Diceros bicornis minor: one gene and its partners. The protein of the gene in region 1 interacts with the protein of each later gene in a pairwise test. Links are inferred from orthologs where the notes say so. Each region holds a gene or a part of one and is shown on either strand. Other genes may lie near its edges. The genes, in order: PRKN, RGS2 and SYT11.

Region 1 (8,116 bases):
TAAGAGAGAAACCATTCAGATTACTACAAAGAAACATTTAAAATGAGCTCATTAAATGCAAATTAAAACAGAAACACTGAATAAGCACTGGGCCACAATTAAAGGCTGAAGAAACAGCAGGTAGGAAACAATTTCCATTGATCAAAGATCTAAAAGCTAACAGAATCAAGTATTCTACACTGTAACTGCTTTCATGAATATGAAGCATTTCAAAGTAGAGAGAACTTTTTTTTTTGCATTTTTCAAAGAAGCTTTGGAGGTAGAAATGCATTTGCATATCTTAATACAAAGTACTTTCACTGTATCATTTTCAAGCAATGAAGCTATGAGGTTTCAAAAAAATGCAGACTTCAAAAAAAAAAAATCCTTAGAAATAGTTCCAAAACTGAAAAGGGCATAAGGTCATCATTTTAGAGCTTTTGGACCCAAAGAAGAACTGTACATAATTACATGAAATGTTCTATGCCAAAATTTAGTAGAACTTCTTTGTGGCACAACTGTATCTCATCATCAACAGAAGCTTTTAGAGCCTACCCCGGGTACTCAGACGCAGGGTCACTCTTCATCTCAAATTATTGAAATAGAAGGGAAAGTAGCAGTACACAGTACATTCAACTAGAAATATAAATTCTGAGACCTTAACATTCACCACATACGAGCTTTAAAACAAATATGCAGATTTGTGGGCAAAGAGTAAACTTAGACTGTACATTCCTGATGGCAGGGCATCTTTTTCTGTTTTATTCACTAGTGTATCCCTGGCACCTGGAGCAGCACTGGGCACATAGTAGGTGCTCAATTATTAGATATGCTTTTGTGAAAATAAAGCATTATCAAATGAAAAGTGGCAGGTTTTTTCTTCATAAGTTCATTTTAAAAATTAAAATATACTGCTTTTCATCTATCAGAAAGGCAAAAGTAAAAATAGTTTATGGTACACAAGGGGGAAATGGGCACTCTTATAAACACTGTCAGGAAGGGCAGAGCCAACAAGGACAACACACTTTGTGCAGTTTGTGCACTGCTCAGAGGCACTAAACCTAGGGTGAGGCAGAGGGGGAGAGGGGAAACCCAGCAGGTGCTCTGCTGGTGAAAGCTGAGTCAGTCCTGGGAGGGATGTCTTTTTGTAATTTTTCAGCCCACAGAGAGAGGGCAGCTCTTTGCTACCTTGTTGTGGTAGACAGGAGTATAAAATAGGGCAACTTATTTGAGAACAATTTGGAAATACCTAGTAAAATTCAAAATCTACAAACCCTTTGACTAAAAAATCCACCCAGAAACTGTAATAAGATTTTTACTTTACATATATACTTAAACATTCAAATAAAATGATACGGACACAAACATACCTGATGATAGCAATTGTCTGTAAACCTACTAAACGCTCATTTATTGAAGAGTATTTGCATAATTTGTGTATATCCAGAAAATAAAACACTAGGCGGGAATTACTGTGAGGTGGATCTGTACATGCAGATATACGAGTTTTCTAAGAGATGTTAAGTTAAACGACGTACAAAACAGACTATGTTCTAATTATTGTTTTTTTTTTTAACTCAATCACAAACCTTTTTAAAGAATAAGACATTGAATTTGAATTTCAATATTGGCAACATTGTTGTATAAATATCCATGCACTTTAATATCTGATACTACTCAAATACCTGAATCCAGTTCTGCAGGACATTTAGAATATACCTCAAATATCACTACTAAAATTCAATTTTAAATACAAAGAATTGCTAATTTTAAAAAAGGGTGAAATAAATTTTAATAGAGGTGTCCAAAATTACATTTTTCTAAGTTGAATTTTCTTAAGCTTTTCTATTTTGCTTTACATTATCCTCAAGTCCTTCTCCACACTTCTCACAAAGTTATAGTTTTTCATCGACTTCAATTAGATTATGTTTCTGTAGCTGTCTGGGTCAGGGCATTTAACATATCAATCATAATCCAAGTGGGGAATGTAAGTACTTTGGAAACAGTCTCCGTGCCAAGAAGGAATCCCGGGTTTTAAGAAAGTAAAAGGAAGGTAATTTTATTGGTAGTGAGGTAATAGTCAATCTCCTTTACTCCTATTCCACTGAGAAACCCATTTTTGTTTTTCCTCAAAAGTGATGGAAGATTCAAATAAAGTAGAAGAGTACTATTTGCATTAACGAGGGTGTAGCAATTAAAGAGAGCACAGGCATGAAAGGGGCAAGTATGAGTAGCACGCATGTCTTTAGCAGAAAAAACTATCCCCAGATACATGTGTATTTGTTCTCCAGCTTATCACTGCGCAGAGACTATCACATCTTTCTTGGCTCTAAAGTTTAGTTGCGGAAACAGGAAACCCATCCCTCTAAGATGTCCCTTCACTTGCTTCCACTTTCACTAACCTTTACCATTATTCAACACAACCAAGTCCAAAACTGGCAGTTAATATTTTTATTAAAATATGCCCACCAACAGAATTGGGCAATGCAACTAGTTGTATAAAATAATGTATTGCACACTGTCCACATGGTTTTATATGGAAGGTACTTGTCCTGGGAAGGGGCATGGATTTAATTATTTATGTTGTAACACACATTTATCTGCACTATGTAAAACAACAGCTGGAGTATGGGAAAGAATGCCTTTTAAATCCACCTCATATTCTCCATGTCATTACTAGACATCGTCTAATCAACCACACCGTACTCTTCCTTCTTGTGGCCCTAAATCCCAAATAAAAACTAAACTGCCTAAACATATTTCCTCCTAATAAAGTTATTCATATAATCATTTATTAGAATTTAGAATTATGATGATTTTTAGATTTTTTTTTTCTTAAATATTTCTTTCTTTATTTATTGTGTGTGTGGGGGGAAGAGCAGCCCTGAGCTAACATCTGCCAATCCTCCTCATTTTGCCGAGGAAGACTGGCCCTGGGCTAACATCCGTGCCCATCTTCCTTCGCTTTATATGGGACGCCGCCACAGCATGGCCTGACAAGCGGTGCGTCGGTGCGCACCCGGGATCTGAACCCGAGTCGCCAGCAGCAAAGCGCGTACACTTAACCGCTATGCCACGGGGCCGGCCCCTGATTTTTAGATCTTTAAGTTCCTGTCTTCTTTATATAGCTTTACCATAAATGTTTCTTTTAAAATTATTCATGCATTACATTAAGTTGAATTAAAATTTGTGCAATTGTCTTTAAAATAAGGTATAGACTATTTTTTCCTATAAAATAGTGATAGTATGGATTTTGAAAAACTTCTACTTGGTTTTCTGATTCAGATCAGATTTGTGTTTACAAGTGGATCTTGTGTAACTGCCACCTAAAAAGGTTCAAAAGATTCCTAAATATTTACACATTTTTATTAATTTGACAGCTTTCAAAAGTCATTCACCAAAAGTTATACCAGGCTAGAAAGGTAAGAAAAGTTGGACATCTTTAGGTTTTATCATTGCCGCAAAGACAGTGTCAGTTAACTGGCATGATTCTCCTAGTTACAGGTAGAATGTTTTACATTTTAACATTATTTTCATAAATAAAAGATTTAAGAAGAGTTTATCAGTGCATACAAACTTACATATTTTAAAAATCCACCTCTCATCTTTCTGGACAAACCACATCTGACTTCAGATGCACTCGCTGCAATCAAAAGTGTTTTGTAAGTGGCGCCTGTCAAGAATAATCCTAAAATAAACTCACTAAATCTTCAATGCATAATCTAAAACAAGTCTCTGTCATAATAAACTCCAAACTAGCAATGTTTTCTAATCATATTGTGCATTTCCACTAATTTTCAGAGATAATCCCTAAAATAACTTTTGGTTTAACAACCCTGGAAGAGAGGAACTTTGCTAATCTTATACATCACAGTGCTTATAAACAATTCTAGTAGCCACTTCCAAAGCTTTATTCACAAAAATGCACCTAGGTTATTTTGTGTTTGGAAAAAAAAAAAAAAAAAAAAAAACTTTTGCATAGTGAATTAATGATTCACTATGCAAAAGGTTTAACCCTTGCTATGATTTACTCTTAATCGTTCATCTCAGACCTTCAATGAGAGATTTAAAAGAAAAAATCGCAGGGAGCAAGAAGTTTAAATCCACCTGCAGGAATTTCTTTTGATGACAACCATCATCACCAGGTACCTTCCATTAGAGTCAATGCTTCGCTAGGGTCTCCCTTAAAGAATCCTACAGACAGTGGGTCCCAATCTGTCCTAAACTGGAAGACACCGACCAAGTCTCCCTGAGGGATGGAAATGGGGGCGGACAGGAAGGCCTTCCCACGGACCCCCACAGGTCTGACTGAGCAGTGCACTCGCCGTGGGATAGTGGAACCCAGCGTCCACCTGGGGAGGAGCACCCCAGGGTCCCTCGCCAGGTTGTCTTCAGTGGGAAGCTTGTCACAGCAGGGGCGGGGTGGGGGCTTAGAACACACACTGGGCGGGCACTGGGAAGCCGCCGGCGCGGGCAGAGGACGGCGCGGACGCTGCCGCCCTGCCCTTGACAGTTGGCACTGGCAGGCACCCTGGGGTCCCCGTCGGCCGAGGCCCGGCGTGGCGCCACGGCTGGGCGCGGGACGGCGCAGAGAGGCTGTACCTGGCAGGCACCCACGTACCGATCATGGTCACTGGGCAGGTGGAGGCTGCCGGACAGGGCGAGGACTACCAGGGCACCGAAGCCCACCCGCGCCTTCCACCAGCGGCGCTCCGGGGTTAAATCGTCCAAGACTCCCCTCCCTGTGCCCAGCCGTAGGAATGCGCAAGCGCGAACGGCGCGCAGCCCGGGGCTTTCTGGGAGTCGTAGTTTTAATGCGTAGTTTCTCCTCACCCCCGCCCGCCTCCCGCCGCCTGCCGCCCGTCGGGACTGAGGCCCAGGAAACGTACGTCACGGGGGGCGGGACCATTCGGCCGCCGTGTTGACGCGTCGCTTAGCAACCGGGAGGCTAACCTTTAGAAGCTTGTTGCAGCTCAAGCCACGGTCCAGCCCTCTTCCCGCCCCTCCCCTCCCCTCAACTCCCTTCACCTAGGAGCTGCCAAACATCTGGATCAACCTGGGCACTACGAGGGGGTTGAAGTTCTACCATTAACGCGCCTTTTTACATTTTTTCCCGACCTCCTTCTCACATCCGTAAAACCCACTGACTCTTTTACTACACGTTTTATGAGAACAAGACATTTTCTAGGAAGATGGTGGCAGAAAAAGAGACCTTGAGCTTAAACAAATGCCTAGACAAGATGCCGAAGAGGACCAAGCTGCTGGCACAACAGCCGCTGCCGGTGCACCAGCCTCACTCCCGGGTTTCTGAGGGCTTCACAGTCAAAGCCATGATGAAAAACTCAGTCGTAAGTGATCTTTCTAAACTGAATGCACTCGCTCCGAATCAGATTGTAGAGGCTGGCTGGCCCTAGGATGGATTCGGAGCCCATGTCCTGGGTGGTCTTTGCCAAAAATGGCAATTATTCAGCCAGTAGCAGATGGTGCCCAACAGAGTGTGGAGGTCCAGGATAGGTTGTTAGAAAGGATCTTGGACAAGTGATGTACTATACCCATTTATAAGCACCTTCCTAATAACTCATGGTTTCTAGACCACCGCACATCACTCTTAAACTATTTACACAAAGAAGAAAGATCCACTTTGCTTGTTGATTCCTAAACTAGCCCAGTCAGCAAAAAGCCTCATTGAAAGTGAGTTCTTAGAAATCCTAAATTCTCTTGTAAAATTTTACATGTGCTGATGTACAGCTGGAAACATAAATATTAAATAATCTACAATAGGAAATCTCATTAATTCAGCCTAGGAAATTTTAGAATATCCTAGCATTTACTCTAAGGGCACTGTTTCTCACAAAAAGAAAACAGCAGGTTAGAGTACTGAAAGACACCTGAATATGAAGTCTATTTCCAGATAGACCTTTTAAACTGCTAATTTTAAACAAGCCAAGCTTCACTTCAAGTATCTCTGTTACTACAATTCGTATTTCATTTCTATTTTTTGTGGTAGTAAAAAGAAAATATTATCAATACCGTTGGGGGAAAAAGGTTTAAATTGCACACAAATAGTTTAGCTACATGCACGATAGGTATAGGAAAAAAAACAGCTTTAAATTTGGTATGCTAAACCAAGTTTTACCACGGGGTAAGCAGCTGTCTGGGAATGAGGTATTAAATAATAAATACAGCTTTCAAATTTGTGTAATTTACACTCTGGGAGGATCTGACTTATTGTATAGCAACTCATTATGTTAAATGAATAATGTTGCTTTCCAGTGTCACGTTATTTGTTTTACGTAAATGTTGTAAACCTAATACCTTCTTTCTAAACCACATCCTTAAAACACATGAATGAAACATATTACTTCTAGACCACTAGGCCAGATTCCCATGTTGCTACACAAAATGATATTCTGGTTGTTGGAATGTGTCAGTTGATTTACAGTAGTTAAAATTTTTGGAAATAGAGTAAAACTTCTGCTTGTTGTAACTGCAGTCTTTCTCCCTGTATTTCACGTGAATAGGTGGTCATGAGAGCCAAGACGACTCATTTATCAGCAATACAATGTATCATAACCTTAAAGCTAATTATTTGCTTTTCTTCTAAACAGAGTTTATAATTATAATTTTAGTGATTTTTTTCAATGTTATACTTTTTCAAAGACGTAAAAAAATTGGTCACATTCTTCCTCTTTTTTTTTAAACTCATGTTCATAATCATGTTTATTTTTTTTAAAACATAGCCTTATACTTAAAATCATAATTCTGGAAAATCAAGTATTTCAGTATTGCCGAGTGTAACAAATATGCTTACAGGACTCAAAAAACCGTTGATTATGAAGCAGCCTTCTTTTTAAACAACTTATTTGAGATAAATTATCTTCTTATTGCCATATTTTTAAGGAAAATCCTGTAGTGTAATATCTATGTCTCCACTGGGATCCTCAAAATAGGATGTCATTCTTTCACTTCATTTAGTGGAAATCATAATTGTTAGAGACAAACATTACTCGTCCCCTCATTCATTCAATCAACAACACCTTTTTTTTTTTTAATCTAAACTAAGAACTTGCTAAGCACAACTTTGGGGTTTGGGACCAGCAAAATAGAGTTCCTGCCCTTAATACTCCAAGGAAAACCACCGCCAACAACAACACTAAAGTATTGACGAAAGAGAGATAAACAGTACTGTTTATGCAAACTAACTTCAGTGGTACAGGAAATAAAACCTTTCATTTTCATACCCAGTATTTACATTTCACTGTTTCTGTCTTCAACCGTATAAACCTTTCGGCATTATAAAGTCAAAATACCCCTCTTTCTTAAGGTTTATTTCTGTTAGAAAATAATATGCCAATCTCTAGCTTGTCTTAATTACAACCTCTTGTTTCAAAAGCGAAGCCCTAAACCATTTTTCTAGTATTGGGACTTGCCTTCAGTTCCTTCTTTCCAATACTTGCTAATTAAATGTCACCATTCTGGTGCTCCTCCACGAAAGACATATAGAACCATACCCTAAGGAGTTCTATGGAGATTCCCAATGTTTCTTTAAGAGTGCTGTAGTCATATAAGGCTACAAACTCGATCATAAACAGATTTGATCAGATGGGCTATGCAAGCAGAAATCTTTATTTAAACAGTCATAATCTATATATGACAATGCAAAATTAATTACAAAATAATGATAAATGTAAATGGCTGGTTATTTAAATTCCAATAGCATATGCTGTTCTTCAGTAGTAAGTAGTTCCTTTACTTCCTTGAAATTGTTGTTGCCTTCTGTAGTGGAAACAAGCAATGACACAAGTTCTGCAATCAGAGAATAATATTCAAATGTTTATTGTTATAATGTTTGACAGAAAAGAATGATAGGAGATATAGAATTTGAAGAGTTCATAGTTCCTTTTCCCTTTAAAGGCCTTGTTTGTGGCATGATAGAGCCCATAACCAGAAACCTGTAGCCCAGTGTTGTATTGACTTCATCTCAATAGACAGTAGATGCTTTCTGTGCTAATCTACCTTATCATAAAGCAAGTTTGAATATGAGCCAAAGGTTATGATGATAGAGAAGTTGACTTCAACTGAAGCTTTATATTATAGCTTTCCTTTTCAGTAGACGATAGATTTTTTTAAGCTCAAA
Region 2 (8,116 bases), on another chromosome or scaffold:
ACCCTGCTGGCAAAGAGTATTCCTTTTCTAAATAGCCAGTTTGAAAAATAACAGATTCAAGGCCTCCCTCTCAACTAGGAAAAGAGCACATTTCTAGATGAAGCCTAAGAAACACAAGTGTGCTTCTTTTGCTGTCCTCATTAGCTAAAGTCACATAATCAGATTCTTTCTTGGCCAAATGCAGGCAGGAGATTCAGGAAAATTCTGATTTTGTATTAATCCATCATGGAAGTGAATTTCAGGTTTATATCTTCGACGCTCATGCCAGTACCCTGTGGGGGAACTTGGACCCAAGGGAAATAAAAAAGACAGGCCTACGTTCACTTTATTGGGCTTTTTTCATCTGAGAAGCTAAGCTGTGTGATAATTTTGGTGCTGTCTCCACTATCTAATTTTACTTCTCATATTTAGCTAGTCTGTAACAGCTACTCATTAAGGGCTTTAGGTCAATGTTCTTCTGTTTTCATTAACAAGCTTGATTTTTACAAGGTCATATTAGAAAGCTTGATCCTAGGGTGGTTCTAAGGATATGATGACCTCCTTTGACCTACAAAAGCATCCTAGCAAAAGGAACATATGTTCCCTGCAACTATCATTTCCCAGTTCCAAGGACTGGCAATTCTCACTACACAGGCTCATCAATTATGATGCCTCTTCTCCACCAGAAAGGAGATGTTTTCCCTCGTATCGGCCATATTTCCGATTACCGAAAAACAAAACAAAACAAAAACCCCCCAAAACCACTCACATCTGGACCAAATATTCAATGACCTTATTTATCAAAATAAATTTATTAAAAATATTCCAAGACCACTTCAAAGTGTAGCTGCCTTCAGGACAGTTTGGCACTCATCATGGACACTGTAGTTTTCTACATGACAGCACTCATTCTATTACACACACCATTTAACAATTCAAACACAGACCATTTCAGGTTTAGAGTTACATGAGACAACAGTACTCATGATCTGGAGGCAAAAGAACTTCAATACCCTTGCACACAGTAAACGTTTTAATGTTACTTAGTACTAAACTAAAACTAAAACCACTACGTGGCAACGTGGACTGATTCAGGGAAAGATGGACAGCCAGCTAGCTAAGGCCACATAATCCCAGGTCTACTGATTCTAAATGCTTTTGGACCACTAGCATTACATCGTATCTTCCGGTCTCCCATTCTGGCTTTTCCAGTGTGAGACACGCCACGTTCAGACCACTCTCCCTGTGCTCTACACAGTTATGGATGCCATCCTGATACAAGCCCCTTCTAGAAGGCTACCAGCTTCCTGATTGACTACCCAACTTTGAATCAATAGTTCTGAGCGATGTCTCCTGAACACCCAGGGTGAATTCAAGGTCAGTCTTTTTGGCAGGTCACACAGCCTTTCCCCTTAGGAAAAAAATGAAATGTCCTCCACTTTTGGGGTCCATCTCATGGTCTTCCATCTCATGTAGCATGGGGCTCTGTGGTGATCTGTGGCTTTTTACACAAGTCCTGGTAGAATTCTGACTCCAAGAAACGAGGGTAAGAGTTGTTCTCCATCAAGCTGTATACCCTTTTCTGGGCGGTTGTAAAGCAGCTGCTTGTCGCCTCTTGTATATTTTGGGCAATTAGAGTTTTGGTTTGAAAGTCTATGTTTATCTGCAATAAAACAAAAAAGTGGTTTATTCCATATTCAGAGTTAGAGACTGAAATCTATTTAATATTTGAAAACAAAAAAACTAACAAAAACTATAATGCACAATTGGTGTCACCAGCCAAGTCACTGAAGAAAATGAACTTAATTGAAAGCTAGGGTGAGGGGAAGACATTTTTCCCTCCACCCCTGCCCCACTTTTAATGTGCTGTCTCTTCAATTCGTGCTTCACTTTGGCGCAGAGAATGTTCAAAATACACTGAAATGAGGAAACTTTTTTTCCCTTACCTCTTTTGGAGCTTCTTTCTCTATGAAGTCAGTATATATTTTCCTTGCTTTTGAGGACAGCTTTTGGGGTGACTTAGTTTTCTTGAAGTCTTCACAGGCCAGCCAGAATTCAATATTTTCTTCACAGAATTCAGATTTCAAAAAAGCCCTGAATGCAGCAAGACCATCTAGAAGAAGGGATGGGGGAGAACGGATACGGAATGTGAAGAACTGAGTCACCAAATAATCCTATTTTTTCTAGAACTCCCATTCTCTTGCTTCCATATTTCATTGTTTCTGGATGACAGCGATTTTCTAGATTTCACTCAAACCTGTAATCCTGGGAATTTAGCTCTTTAAAGACTACGGTGCCAGTAAGAAAAATCCTTCAAGTTGGCACACTGCTACAAAAATATAAATACTTAACTTTGCTGTCAATGCAAATATTTATAGGGGAGTCACAAGTTCTCTGGGAACGAAGCCTCTTGACAATAGTGTATGCAATGGAAAAGCTAACCCAACCTTAACAAAGAGCAATTGCTACTATAATTTTTTTAGGCTAAGTTTTCTTTCCCACAGGAGTGAATAAACTATGTATTTCCATGATTTAACACTGGGAAATAAAGGATAAAAATAGGCCTTATGTTATAGTGATTGTAAATTAGAATTCCCCTTGGGCAAGCTGCTTTTCTGTGATGTGGACACAACCTTTCTAGACTCTTGTGATACTTGAAATGGATCCAATTCAAGCGAGTAACTTACATTTGCTGGCTAGCAGCTCATCAAATGCTTCAGACCACAGCTGTGCTTCCTCAGGAGAAGGCCTGCAAGGGAGAGGTTCTGCACATTAGCTTATGCACATCCACTTTCTCTTTTCAGCTCAGCAGGCCAGCTATTCATATTTGCAACTACAAGATTTTCAACTTACTTGATGAAGGTTTGCTGCTTGCTTTTCTTGCCAGTTTTGGGCTTCCCAGGAGAGGAGGAATTTTGCAAGAAGTAGCTCAAACGGGTCTTCCAATCTTTTAATCTAAAAAAAAAAAACAAAAGATATTCACTAAGTGGCAACACTTGAAGTCGCTACTGCAGCCAAAGGCATTTTTACCAAATAAAGTCACCCAGTAGCTGCACACAAACTAAATAAGACAAAACACCAACTCTTCAAGTCAGTCTTACTCATCTAACATTTAAACCCAGCACCTATGTACTGAACATAATCAGTTTCATCCCTTCATCTGAACATAATTACTAGTTTTGTAACTAAGGGCAGAAATACCTAAAATTACTAGGGTATTTTAATGAATTTAGATTACATAGTTCAAAAGGCAGATGCTATTTCTGGCTCACAAAAGGCAGCAGTTTTTCTGCCACTTAATTACAATTCTGAGACATTTCACACTTGATGAAACCACAGTGGAACTGCCTTGAGCCCGCCCACGCTCATTTACCTCTACCCTTGGAGCAGGAGGCTCTGGACCACGCCAGAAGCTGTGTACAATGTTGTGTCTGTGTGTGTGTGTGTGTGTGTGTGTGTGTGTGTGTGTCTGTGCGCGCGCGCGCGCGTGTGTGTGTGTGTGTGTGTGTGTATGACTGCCTCCACCCTCGCCAACTACAACCCTCATTTTAAGCAGCTGATGCAGAACAATTTGTTCCACAGCCGTGAGTGTGCGAGATCTGCTTTTCAAGTAAAAAATAAAAATGGATTCAAAAGGAATATATTCAGAACTAGCAAAAATATCTCCATCCTAGCAGCTGTGTAAGCTGATCAGAACTTATCATTCAACGCACAAAGGCCGGGGACGCCCTTCAGCCGCAGGATTCTCTGATGTCATTTCAATGCAGGGGGACAAAAAGCCAGCCCGTAATTTCTTAGCGCATCTACTACCGCCTCCCTATCAAGAATTTTCTTCAGCTCCTAAACTACCCGAGAGTCCCTCGCTCACGTAACAAAATAAGTATATACCACACAAACAACCTTACGGAGCAAATTAACCTTTTACACTTTTTTTTTTTTCCTGCAGAGGCGCAGGCTACATAGTTCTCTATGTCCAAGCCGAGCGCGAATGCACCGCGATTGCAGCCCGCCCGGGGAGCCACGTCGGCAGCGGGGGGCGGGAGAGAGAACAAAGCCGTACTCACAGAGTCCGCTTCATTTTCTCCCGCTTCTCCTCGCTCTTGGGGCCGCTGCCTGCACTCTTATCCATGGGGCCACAGTCGTGCTGGACAGCCAAGAACATGGCACTTCGCATGCTACTCTAACCACTTGCGCCGCCGGGGTCTGCAGCAGGGCGCGCGCCGCCGCCTTTATAAGAGGCGGAGGCGCGGGGGCGGGGCCTCACGTCGCCGGTCCCGCCTCCAGAGGGCGCCGATTGGCCGGCTGCAGCCGGGCCTGGGGGCGGGGCAGCGCCGGCCTGTGCGGTCCCGGGCGCCGCCGCAGCGTCTCAGAGCGAGGGCGCTGCTGACGTCTGTGGACCCGGTGTCGTGCGCACTCGGAGCGGACGGAGGTTTCACTGTGAGTCGCCGCGGGCGATCTCTCCCAGGCGGGGCGGCCGGTCCCTCCCGCCCAGGGAGGAGCCGAAGTCGGTGGCGCTCGCCCTCCTCGCCTCCTTCCCCCCCCCCCCCCCACGCTCACGTGCTCCCGACCCCAGAAAGTGATGACTCCCCGCAGGGCAGGTTGCTGGTTGCGAACCAGAGTGCAATCACCTTACTTTGAGTTAAGACTTGCCCCTGGTGTTTGGAGCGCGCGCCTTCTCCTCACGCCTCCTTTCTGGGTCTGTAAACTGGGGGACCCCCCCCCCGCACCTGTTCCCCTCTGCGACTCCATTTAGTTTGGGGAAGGAAACGGTGAACGGGAGGAACAGTGCTGGTCCAAGGGCACACGGTGTGACCTCCTCTGCAGCTTGCCTGGGCATCTGGGGACACTTTTGGGTAATGAACATGAGTCAGGGAAGGACCAGGGGAAAGTGACTTTGTCAGACGACAGTGCTTTAACGGTGTGCGTTTTTGATCACCGATAGACACGTGGCTGGGTCTGTCCGTGAGGTTGCAGGCTTAGTCCTCAGGAGTCCTTCCAGAATAGAAATCACATATCTCCTTACGAGATAGAGGGAAACACCGAGACCTCGCAGCTGTAAGGCACCGGAATCGTTCTAGTGTTAAGAGCGCAAGGATGTAGGATTTCCTCATGAGTCATTCTTGGTTGGCTTAGAATTTACCAGAACTCTTAACTGGCAAAAGGGGGGAGGTGAGAAGTTAACAGTTTGCTTGCGTAAGTTTAATTTGTTAGCTCTTCAGAAATCCTCTCAACTGTAGGGGGCTTTAAATGGTTTGATAGGTAAGGACAAATAGATAACCTCAACTACAAAATGGTTTGATTTCAGATAACATTATTAAAACTGGGGATTGGAATATTCAAGTGGTTTTCCCATCAGGCATCTAAGTGGACAGTAAGATTAACAGCAAGGTATTGACTGGGCTGCAAATCTTCTTCTACTTTGCATCGAACTGTTAAAAGAAAATTGGAACTAGTTTAACATATTCTTATGGTGAGCTGCCAGTAGTTGGAGCTCCAAGTTTGACTTGGAGGGTAAAATTTGCAATTATTACTAAAGAGAACAGCCATGTACCTTATTATAGAAAGGAAAATCATTTCGATTTCAGTCATAAATACTTTGTGGGAAATGTAAGAATGTCATCCTTCTCAAGCTTATGCTCATCTCTAAAAGAAGTTTGCATAATATTTCCTATATCTATTTTCACTTTCTGATGATTCAGTACTTATTTATTAAATATGTGTAATATGCAGACACTTGCTTTTCCTTGCAAATGTAAATCTCAGTCGTATTTTCCACTTAAAACCTTGAATGGTAGAATTCGCTCATTCTGGAAAGGCCAGGAGTTCTGACAAAAGCAGCAGGGAGAGAGAGCTGGGTTTCTGTTAGGAGACCTAATTATAGTCTGAGCTTAACCAGTAATTACTAGGTAACTGTTGGAACTGCCCCATCACACCTTCTTGAGCCCTTTTCTCATCTGTATTGAGAGTAATGCATCTTTCTTGCCAACCTCCTTAGATATTATGTGAATCTTACCTGAAAGGCCTTGGTAAATTCTAAAGTACAATACAAAGTTTATTATTATTAATTTGCATATGTGTGAAAAAGGAAATATCTGGAAGCATAGCTATTACAGATAGAAAAATCATTAAAGGATTAACTCTGAGTTAATTAGGTTATGAATCTGTAGGTACTATTAAAATATCAAGATAGGGCCAGCCCTGTGGCTTAGCGGTTAAGTGCTCGAGCTCCACTGCTGGCGGCCCGGGTTCGGATCCTGGGCGTACACCGACGCACGGCTTCTGTGGCCATGCTGAGACCGCGTCCCACATACGGCAACTAGAAGGATGTGCAGCTATGACATACATCTAGGGGCTTTGGGGGGAAAAAAAAAGGGAGGAGGATTGGCAATAGATATTAGCTCAGAGCCGGTCTTCCTCAGCAAAAAGAGGAGGATTAGCATGGATGTTAGCTCAGGGCTGATCTTCCTCACAAAAAATAAAAAAAATAAAATATCAAGATAATGTCAAGAGATTTGTAGAGTATCAAGCTCTTAATAGATACTTACTAAATGCTCTCTGGATAATAAGCCCGTAAGGAAAATAAGCAAACTGTTTGACATTTAAACTTTCCAGACATCTCCAAGCCAGCAAAGTTCAGTCATCTCAGTATATTCACAAAAGTGAATATACATGAATCTATGTAAGCAACTGGTTTAAATGTAGACTATTCTAGATGTTTTTGTAAATTTAATGTCATTATTTGCTTTTTTCCTAAACCATTTCCAATTAACATCTGATGTTAAGTGGCAGAAAATTAATTTTTTCCTTAAAATTATGAGGTTGATAAATCTGGATGTAAATTTATCATTTCTGTATCTATGGGTAATGTTAAGAGTTAAGGCAATATCACCTATAGACTAAGAAATCTTTTCATCAAAAAGTTGCCACGTTACTGTCTTTTATAAAGACAGGCAGACATATATTGAAAGGCGAGCTACTGTTTGATGACTTCTCTTTGTTTTTTTGTTGCGACTGGCTTTTAGGTAAATGGGATTGCTCAATATTAAGATGACACATATTTTCCATTCCGTGGTGGAGGAAGAAACAATGCAATGGGTTGTAAATATTGCACAGCAAAGTCACAGCTGGAGAGTGGCTTGATAAGCGAACCATACATTTTCCATGTTGAATCTCCCATGCCCTCTACTGGAGAGGCTCTCTGAACAGGTTAGTGGTGGAGGTTCTTAGTGTGGTTCTTGAACTTTTTGTATTTAAAATAATTTTAAGTTACTGAAGAAGGCAAACAGAAAAATACAAGTTTCTAGCAATTTCAAAGGGGGAATATGAAAAGCGAAAGTCTCCCTTGCCGTACTTCTCTCTTCCCCTCCAACTGTGTGCTATTATTAACCAAAAATTATTAGTTATTATTAGCTAAAAATATTTATACATAACTTTCAGCTATACTTTAGAAATTTAGGAAACAAGATACATGCTTTAAAAAAACACAAAAGGATCATCCTGTGTATTACTCCGTGCCTTGCTTTTTTTGGTCAGTAAGATGTTTTAGTTCCTGAATTTGTAAAAGCTGTAAACCTGTTGCTTACCTCATGAAATCTTACATGGGTAGTAAGTTGAAAAAAAGGGGAAAAAAACTAGGAAATTAAACACCATGTGGCAAAGGGTGTGATGAGTAATTGGAAAAAATGAAAACTTTTAGTACCCTAATTGTTGACCATATTTGAGGAAGTGACACCTGTCTTTTCCTTCCTTCCTTCCACCTTTCTCTCTCTCATTGAACTTTAGTTGGTGAAATTCTCTTTTAAGAGATTGAACGTATGACCCCATAAGATTCTGTACTCCACTTTTCACCCCAATGTGATCTGAGATTTAAAAATTACAATTACTGTCTTTCTTAGAATGTAATTTGCATACACAGAAGCTGATAAAAAAGAAAGTTAGTGTTTTGTCAGGAATGAATCAGAGTTTCAACCTAATACTTGACATGTACGATAGAGGAGTTCATAATTTTACCAGTCCTTGGATTGGTAATTCCGGTTAGAGTACTTCCATGGTTCTGCCTTCAATTCATCCATGGTGTGGAGTATGTTGTACTTCAGATGCAGATGAATTTAATAACCCCCTCCTTCCTAAAGTATCT
Region 3 (8,116 bases), on another chromosome or scaffold:
AATGTGATTCCAGAATATTCCAGATTCTTCCAGAAACATCCTTCCACCAGGTATCTGCCTGGCTCACTGCCTCACTCACTGCAGGCTTCTGTTCAAACCTCACCTTACCAGAGAAGCATTTCCTGACTGCCCCAGGTGAGATAATACCCCCATCATCTGCTTTATTTTTCTTCATAGCACTTACTACCCCCAACATATATTTACGTTCTGTCTTCCCTCACTAGATAAGTTAATAAGAATAGTGACTGTCTATTTTGTCCACTGCTGTATCCCCAGGTCCTAGAACCATGTGGCACATAGTAAGTCTTCAGTGAACAAATGAGTTAGTGAAGTCAAAACAGCCCCCACAGATTGGAAAGAGAAGATGAGGTCAATATGATTACATATATCAGGGATACATGTAAAATTCTATTTGGCCTTCAAAACCTATCAATAGGCAATAGGAGACCTTACTTGACAAGTTTGAGCAAAAATAACTTAGTAGTTTAGGTAACCACAGCTTGCAGTCTAATCAGGCTAATGTCTATTTTTTTTTTTTTTTGTGAGGAAGATCAGCCCTGAGCTAACATCCATGCTAATCCTTCTCTTTTTGCTGAGGAAGACTGGCCCTGAGCTAACATCTATTGCCAATCTTCCTCCTTTTTTTCCCTTTTTCTCCCCAAAGCCCCAGTAGATACTTGTATGTCATAGTTGCACATCCTTCTACTTGCTCTTATGTGGGATGCTGCCTCAGCATGGCCCGAGAAGCGGTGCGTCGGTGCGTGCCGGGGATCCGAACCCGGGCTGCCAGTAGCAAAATACGTGCACTTAACCACTAAGCCACAGGGCTGGCCCCCCAGGCTAATGCCTATTTATACTATGAGTACAACGTCCAGATCACAGGAAGGATGGTATAATTTCATCTGCACTGGTCACATTGCACATGGAGTGTTCTGTCTAGCACTGACAAGAATAAAAACTGCGATTTTTTTATGTACATTTATTATGTTCCTGCCAGGCATTGTGCTAGAGCTTTTTCTCTCTGAATCAAAGAACTCAGTGAATGGGTACCATTAATATCCCCACTTTACAACTGAGGAACCTGGGGACTCAAATCTGTCCTAGGCCACATAGGAGCAAATGGCAGTAATGGGTTTTAAACTCTGGTCTGCCTGACACCAGAATGTCTCTACATTACAGGTAATCAGGACAGTAAAAGACCTGGAAACCATATCAAATGAAGAAAAATTGAAGGAACTGGAGCTGAGGGGTCTAGGAATAATACATTTCTTCAATTACTGAAGGCGTTTTGATGGAAGAAGTTCTGATTTGATTTTACTTTGGAGGGCAGGTCTAGCATCAGTACGTATAGGCTACAGGAAGACAGATTTTGACTCAATGAAAAGAGTCAAATTATCATTAGAACTGCCGCACACTTGCCTGGATTGCTTCATCAGGCAATGAATCTCCAATTGAAAACTTTCAAACAGGTTGGATCAGGCATATTCTGAAAGGATTTCTTCAATGGGGATTGGACTAAATGTCTCTAAAGGTCTTTCTGCCTCAAACATTTCCATAGTTCTATGAAAGTTGGGACCAGGTAAGAAAAGAAGGGGTTGCCTTTTTAAAAAACGTAGATAAGGAGTAAAGCCATTAACAAAATAAATCAAAGTGACCATGTCCATGGCCATACTGAATAATAATAGTGTTTATTCTCAGTGTATTAAGTGAAATAAGAGTTGTTACGGAGAGGTTTCATAAAATTGGGCCAGCTTTGGTGGTAAGCTCCTTGAGAATAGGCAGAAGTAACATCCTGTTCATCTTCCCTAAGTTTCTTGTATCTAATAGGAGCTCAGTAAATATTTGTTTGAATAATTGATTGGATTCAATTGTCAATTATAATGGGCACAAATCTAATAAAGTGCCTCTCCATCACCAATCAGGGACTTTCCTGAAAATTGTTTGCTAGTGATTAGTGAAACTGAGCATTGATTGTCTCTATGAGAAGAGGAAAGCAGGGAACTACCAAGACAGGTATATTTTCAAGAATGATTTGAAAGGGAGATCTAAAGGCCCAGGTTGGAAGATATCTGAGTGATCCTTTTGGCTCTATCATAGACTTGGTGATCTTGAGAGAACCCACTGCTACTGACAATGCCTCAACTTTTACTGTTAGAAAATAGAGGTGGAGTGGGTAAGAGAGAAGATGTAGGATTCTCATCTTTCAGAAGGACAGAGAAGGAAAAGAAGAGAAACAGATGAATCCATTTGTGGATTACCTAGTGCTCTCCTCTATCTTGTTGCCCACTTTTGCCCTACTTTCTTCTTCATTTTAGTATGTGTTAACCCCTGCCTCTCTCCCTGACACCCAAGGCACTGAACTAGAAAAATCAGAAATGTTGAAACTCAAAACGCTCTGTCTGGCTTTAGTCAAAAGCTTGGTGGGAAAAGGAAGTTGGAACTAATGGCTAAAGTGAATGTTTTAAAGTAATTGTAAATTGCAGTGACCCGTGCTGCTTGCTCCTTTTGTCCTCCAAGGTCACGGATAATTGAGTGTTGGCTTGGTGTATCTCCCAAGGGCTATGGCATTTGAAATGAAGTATTCTATGAGACGTGAAAAAGATCAGAAGTGGCAGTTCTCTCTGTAGGAGACCCTCTGTATGGGTCTAAAGGCCTGCAAGAGACACCTGGGCTATGCTCAACTCTCTCAGCCTCTGACCAGATCTGCTTATTGACACTTCCTTTACAATAATAGCCTTTCTCTGTCAAGCAGGCCAGTGCAATACAGTGAAATGAGAGTGAACTTTGGCATCAACTGGACACTGGTTTAAATCCTAGCACTACCCTCACTAGTTTGTTTGACTTTAGCCAAGTTATTTTATCTCCCTGAGCCTCAGTTTCCTCATCTGGCAAACACATACTATAATGCCTACACCGGAGAGTATTTGTAAGGATTAAATAAAATGTATGTAAAAGGGTGATATAGTTTATTTTCTCTTTTCCAAATATAGCTTCTAAAGGAAATCGCTATATTATGCTCCACACCATCTAACTTTCCAAGAAATCGAAAACTGCGATTAGAGAAAAGAACATGTTGGAAAGAAGGCATAAGAAGAAAAAGAGCAGGAAAAAAAACCATGAGGTGCTCATGTGGCCCCAAAAGGGCCATCTCTTTTGGAAATTCAGGACTCAAGGAATACAGATGCAGAAGGTGAAGTGGAAGAAAAAAATACAACCAAGAATCAGCCTTGGGGAATCAGTGGGAACATTAGTTAGTGGGTGTGATCTGTTGTCTGGATACTTTCCTGATCTGATGTCTTCTTCCTGATATAGAAGGGATAGAGCACATTGGGTTCTGCTCATTTCCATAAGCCTCTTACTCCAGGAGTGAGAAAAGCCATTTCCTAGTTGGATTGTAGCCCCACCCTAAACCCTGGAGTCTGGATGCTCAAACCTGGATTGTCTGGGGGATAGAATCTTAAGGGATATGAAGGAACCCTAGGCTGACAGCAACTCTCAGTGGCTTCTCCCATCCAAACGAGTAGAATTGAGGGAGAAGCAGGGCAATTCTTTTTTTATTTTCGGACGAGGGAATCATAGCACAGGAAGTTTGTTACCCTAGCACATTCTGGAGGAATCCCCAAAGAGGAAAATACTTGCTTCTCGAGCTTTTCTTTCCCATCTTCTTCCCTATTTTCCACTCCACTCTGCCCCAGGGAGTGTAACTGATCTTGGAGCCCACAGGGCTGGGTCGGGGACCAGCGGCTCCGAGGTGACGTAATGCTTTCTCTGGTACACAAAGCGGCCTCCCCCGGGCTCGGCCTCTCTCGCCCCTCCCCCTCCGGTCTGGCTCGGGCCCCCGCCAGCTCCAGCGCGGGTGAGTCCCCCTTTTTGAAAAGCCAGCCCAGGGAAACAGGGAACAAAGGCCTGGGAAGAAGAGCCTAGGCGCTGCCAGGAGGCCCAGAAATAGACATCACGTCATCCCCCAGCCCAGCAGCGCCAAGCGCCATTTGGTAGCATCAGACGGACCCCACCATTACGATGCAGAATAGAACTTGCAGGGCTCACGTTTCCTCCGGCCCCAGCATCCAGCTGACTGGCTGAAGGAGTGGCTTCCTTTTTGCTCCCCACCCCCGCACCTCTCTTTCCCCAGAGGCCGCCGCCTCCCCTGGCTGCCAGCCACACAGCCCACAGTCTCCAAGCTGCCATCTTGATGCCCCATCCCCCGTGCCACCTCCCTCCCCCGCAGCCCTAAGGAGTGGGAGGGGGAGGTAGGGGCACCGCCCTGCGTGCCCCAAGGGGGAGGCCTCGGCCTACCGCACCTCTCCTCCCCCAGAAGGAGGGGTTCACGTCCTCCGCAAGCTCGCTGTTTCTCACCTCCAGCAGTGCTGACAGTGCACCATACAAGGTTTTAGCACCCTGGACCTCCCCACCCGCGGTGTGGCTCTGGCCTTGCCAGCCCCCGCAGCCCATAGCTCAAGTTCAGACTCTGCCACTGCCCGCTACCCACCACCACAGGCCCGATTCTAGTGGGGCTGGCACTTGAAGGCCATGGTCTGGGCTTCACTCCCTGCCCAGCCGCTGGGCTCCCTTGGCTTTGCAACAGTTTCGACTACCCCAGGCTTAGTTTGCCCGACTCTACTTACCAAAGCTAGGTCGGATATTGGTGATCTCAGCCATGTCGTAGTCAGAGGCTATTGCTATAAATGCTTTTGCAATGGTTGGACAACTCTGGGAACCCCCGGTCAGTACTGAGGCCGCCGCTGCAGAGCGCTAGGTCAGGGGAGGGGGAAGGTATCTGACGGACGCCTCCTGCGACGGTCTGGTCCCTGGTTGCCAGCTGCGGTCGCCTCTTAAGATGCTCCAGGGATGCTCTGAGCTAAGGATGCAGGTGCAGCTAGACTGGTCCTGATGCGAGGTAGGCCCCGCCTTCCTCCGAACGGCCCTCGGCAGAAGTCTCCGCCTCTGTCCGAAAAGTTCCGGAAGGCAGGCCTCGCCCCTTTCCGGAAGATCTCAGGGAGGGGACCCCTCCCATCGCCGAGGTTTCCCGAGAATGAGACCCCGCCCACTGACAGGCTGTGGGTCTGTTAGGCGAAAACCCGGAGGCCTGAGTAAAGAGAATGTAGGCGTTTTATATGAGATACTACAGATCCTGTGATTCTGGTTCCCTGGGCTTAATATAGCAGCAGAATGTTCTGGGTGAGAGGGAAACCAGTATTTTGAAAAAACAAAATTCTATACTGCCTGCATTTCAGTATCAATTGTCATTATGTAATGCATTTCTGAAACCACTAAAGGTTATTATGCAAACTTTCTTAAACTTCAGAAGCTCTGATTAAAGACCAAACCTGGTGATGGTTGCACAACTCTGAAAATTTACTGAAAATAATTTAATTGTACAAGTAAAACGGATGGATTTTGTGGTGTGTAAATTAAAGCTCTTAAAAAAAAAAAAAGACTAATGAAGAGTGCCAAAGTTAATCAGTGTTGGATATTTCTCTTCCAAAACTGCAAGGGCTTAGGACAGAGTGAGAGAGAGAGTGAGGGAGAGAGAGAGAGCGAGTGAGCCAGCAAACCAACAGATCTGTGTATTCTGTAGGTTCAAAAGCAGGACGCAAAGGAAGCTCCAGGCTTCTCGAGACTTCCTTGGCATTTGGGAGAGTTAGGGTGATTCAGGTTAGAGTCAGGATATTGGCGGTTATCGCCATGATTACATCAATTTCACCCTTCATTTTGGCTGTGGACATTTTCATTCTATCGGATTCTGTTTACAGATAGGATCAGGTCAAATAGATTACCTAAATGCATAAATATTTGTTGGTGGTTCACCTGTAAAATGAGAGAATTGAATGTATTTTTCCAGCCTTGACATTCTGTTCTTCTAGAAAAGTGGAAAGAACATGGTTCTAGGAGTCACTTATTCATTCAAAACACATGTCTTGAATATTGACTATGCCCCAGGCACCTTCCTGGGCACTGGATCAGTGCATTAGAAGCTAGAGTTAGGATACCTGATTCCCCTTGATAGCTGTGTATCTTTGTGAAATCACCTACCCAGCTGAGCCAGAAATTTGTCCTGCTTAAATTGGAAGGTATAATAATATCTATTGTCCTATAGGGTTTATTGTGAAGATCAAATCACATATGGTAACGTAAGTGAAAGCATTTTGTAAAATGCAGAGTATTATACAGATATGAATAATTACTACTGATTGAGTCCAAGACTGCTTTAGCTTTATTCACGAAACTGCACTATTTGTAACCCAGAGATTCCTCTTTCCGAAATTTTATGAATTCTCCATTTCCTTGGTCCAGTATTCCAGGTGTCTCGCGGTGAGAAGGATTAGATGTCAAACTAAACCTCTGAATCTCACTCCCTAGTTTTGTTTTGAGTAGGATAGCTCCATGGACAGAGGAAAGCGAGGTATTGCCTTTAAATTTTTTTGCCAACAATTGATGTACTAGCTCTGTGGCTTCCTTCCGCCCTAAAATAAGATGGCGCCTAGTGGTTGGCGCATGCTCCTGCACGACCTGACGCCGCGCACCGCGACTCGGGTGCGCGCACGTCAGCCGCTGCCGTTGGCTGACTTCCGGTGATACGGGAGCTGAGTTTCCGCGGGATCGGGCTGGCTGGTGAGGGTACTAGGTTGTGTGCCATGGGGCCGGGAGAGGCAGGTGGGCGCTGGACGCCTGGGCGAAGGATGTCCAGGCAGAGGGGGTCGGGTCTGAGCGCTGGCGCGGGGTGCATGACGGAAGGTAGAGGTGTGAAGGTGTCTAGCTGGGGAGTAGGGACTTGGGCCAGCGCTCGGCGCCGAGGTGAAAAGCCCAGTTAGAACCCCTTTTTGCAGTCTTTTCCCAGGAGAGGCCCGCGCTGGGGCTGCCTCCGGATTCGCTTCATTCACCCTGTTGATCTGACTCCAGTTCCCAAAGTGGGGGCCTGGTTAGAGCTTCTGCTGAGTTTGAAGTGCCTGGAGCCCATCCCTGCACGCTGCTGGGTTTGAATAGTAGCTGCCTGCCTGCCTTTCTTTTTTTTTTCTTTCTTGGACGTCAGTAATTCATCGGTGAAGTATAGGACTCGCCTAAACTACTGCTACTCCACTTCTTACCCACTCACTACCCTCCTTCACAGCACTCAGCGGAATCTTAACGTGTTTATTGAGCTTTAATTACCAAGATAAGGACATCAGTTGATTTTGGGGGCGGGGGAGGAATCTCTGCTAGTGTCCTGGAGAAACTGAATTATGGAGGTGTAAAACTAACCTTATAGTTCTGACTCTTAGAGTTAGAAAGAACTTTATTTTGCAGTCCACTAGTCCAAGCCTTCATCTAGTGCTCTTACAGGTGGGCATTCAGACTTTGTGTGAGCATTGTCGGTGATGAAGAACTCGCTGTAACACAAGGCAACTTATTCTATTCTTGGACCTATTTTATTGAGAGTAAAGTTTTTCTGGGTAGAAAGATGCAGTCAGTTTCCATGTAATGCTTAACTCTTGGTCCAAATGCTGCATAGAATAAGCACAGAATAGGAAGTTCACACTCTCTTGCTTTCATTCATTCATTTATTTAGGGAACATTCATTGAGTATCTACAATAGGGCAGATACTGCTGGGTACTAGGGGTGCTAGTTGAAAGAATCCTTTTCCTCAAAAGCACATAGTTTTAGGGAGAGGGAGACAGGAAGGACAGACAAGAAGCAATCACAAAAGTGATAAGTACTATAAAAGAGGTTTGCAAACAGGTGCGGTAAGAACATAAAAGAAGATACCCTCCAGTTTTGGTTAGTGTAGCCCTTAAAATGTGATGATTGGAATTGAAGCCAAGAGTCCAGAAGTAACATAATATAGAGAAGAGTAGGAATCTCTCTTTTCAACGCAAAATTTTTGTTAATATAGCCTAACCTTCTTAAACAACCACGCTTTCCTTTTTGAATGCTTCTGTTAGTGGAAATACCTGTTTATGAAAACAACAATAGCAAACATTTATTGATCTAATAAATTATTATCTAATGACATAGGTGCTATTTTTATTTCATTTTATAGCTGAAGAAACTGAGATTCAGGTTAAGTAACTTATGCAAGGTCACAAAACTGGAGAGAAGCTGACTTGGGAAACAAATCCAGACAGTTTGACTCCACAG

What was found.
Region 2: the proteins of PRKN (region 1) and RGS2 interact in binary tests that used the Homo sapiens proteins (3 or more experiments, as listed by UniProt). The link is inferred for Diceros bicornis minor from reciprocal best matches to the Homo sapiens genes PRKN and RGS2.
Region 3: the proteins of PRKN (region 1) and SYT11 interact in binary tests that used the Homo sapiens proteins (3 or more experiments, as listed by UniProt). The link is inferred for Diceros bicornis minor from reciprocal best matches to the Homo sapiens genes PRKN and SYT11.

The regions. Positions count from the first base shown.
Region 1 is NC_080778.1:7,909,119-7,917,234, reverse strand, and holds the start of PRKN (E3 ubiquitin-protein ligase parkin), read right to left. Parts: upstream 4,702-8,116; 5' UTR 4,608-4,701; coding exon 4,601-4,607; intron 1-4,600. Other genes in the region: PACRG (parkin coregulated gene protein), read left to right, coding at 5,172-5,327. UniProt on the Homo sapiens protein: Functions within a multiprotein E3 ubiquitin ligase complex, catalyzing the covalent attachment of ubiquitin moieties onto substrate proteins. Substrates include SYT11 and VDAC1.
Region 2 is NC_080777.1:22,250,854-22,258,969, reverse strand, and holds RGS2 (regulator of G-protein signaling 2), read right to left. Parts: upstream 4,175-8,116; 5' UTR 4,154-4,174; coding exon 4,044-4,153; intron 2,935-4,043; coding exon 2,833-2,934; intron 2,729-2,832; coding exon 2,667-2,728; intron 2,093-2,666; coding exon 1,926-2,092; intron 1,643-1,925; coding exon 1,448-1,642; 3' UTR 727-1,447; downstream 1-726. UniProt on the Homo sapiens protein: Regulates G protein-coupled receptor signaling cascades. Inhibits signal transduction by increasing the GTPase activity of G protein alpha subunits, thereby driving them into their inactive GDP-bound form.
Region 3 is NC_080743.1:59,533,905-59,542,020, reverse strand, and holds the start of SYT11 (synaptotagmin-11), read right to left. Parts: upstream 4,882-8,116; 5' UTR 4,660-4,881; coding exon 4,626-4,659; intron 1-4,625. Other genes in the region: GON4L (GON-4-like protein), read left to right, coding at 8,051-8,116. UniProt on the Homo sapiens protein: Synaptotagmin family member involved in vesicular and membrane trafficking which does not bind Ca(2+). Inhibits clathrin-mediated and bulk endocytosis, functions to ensure precision in vesicle retrieval.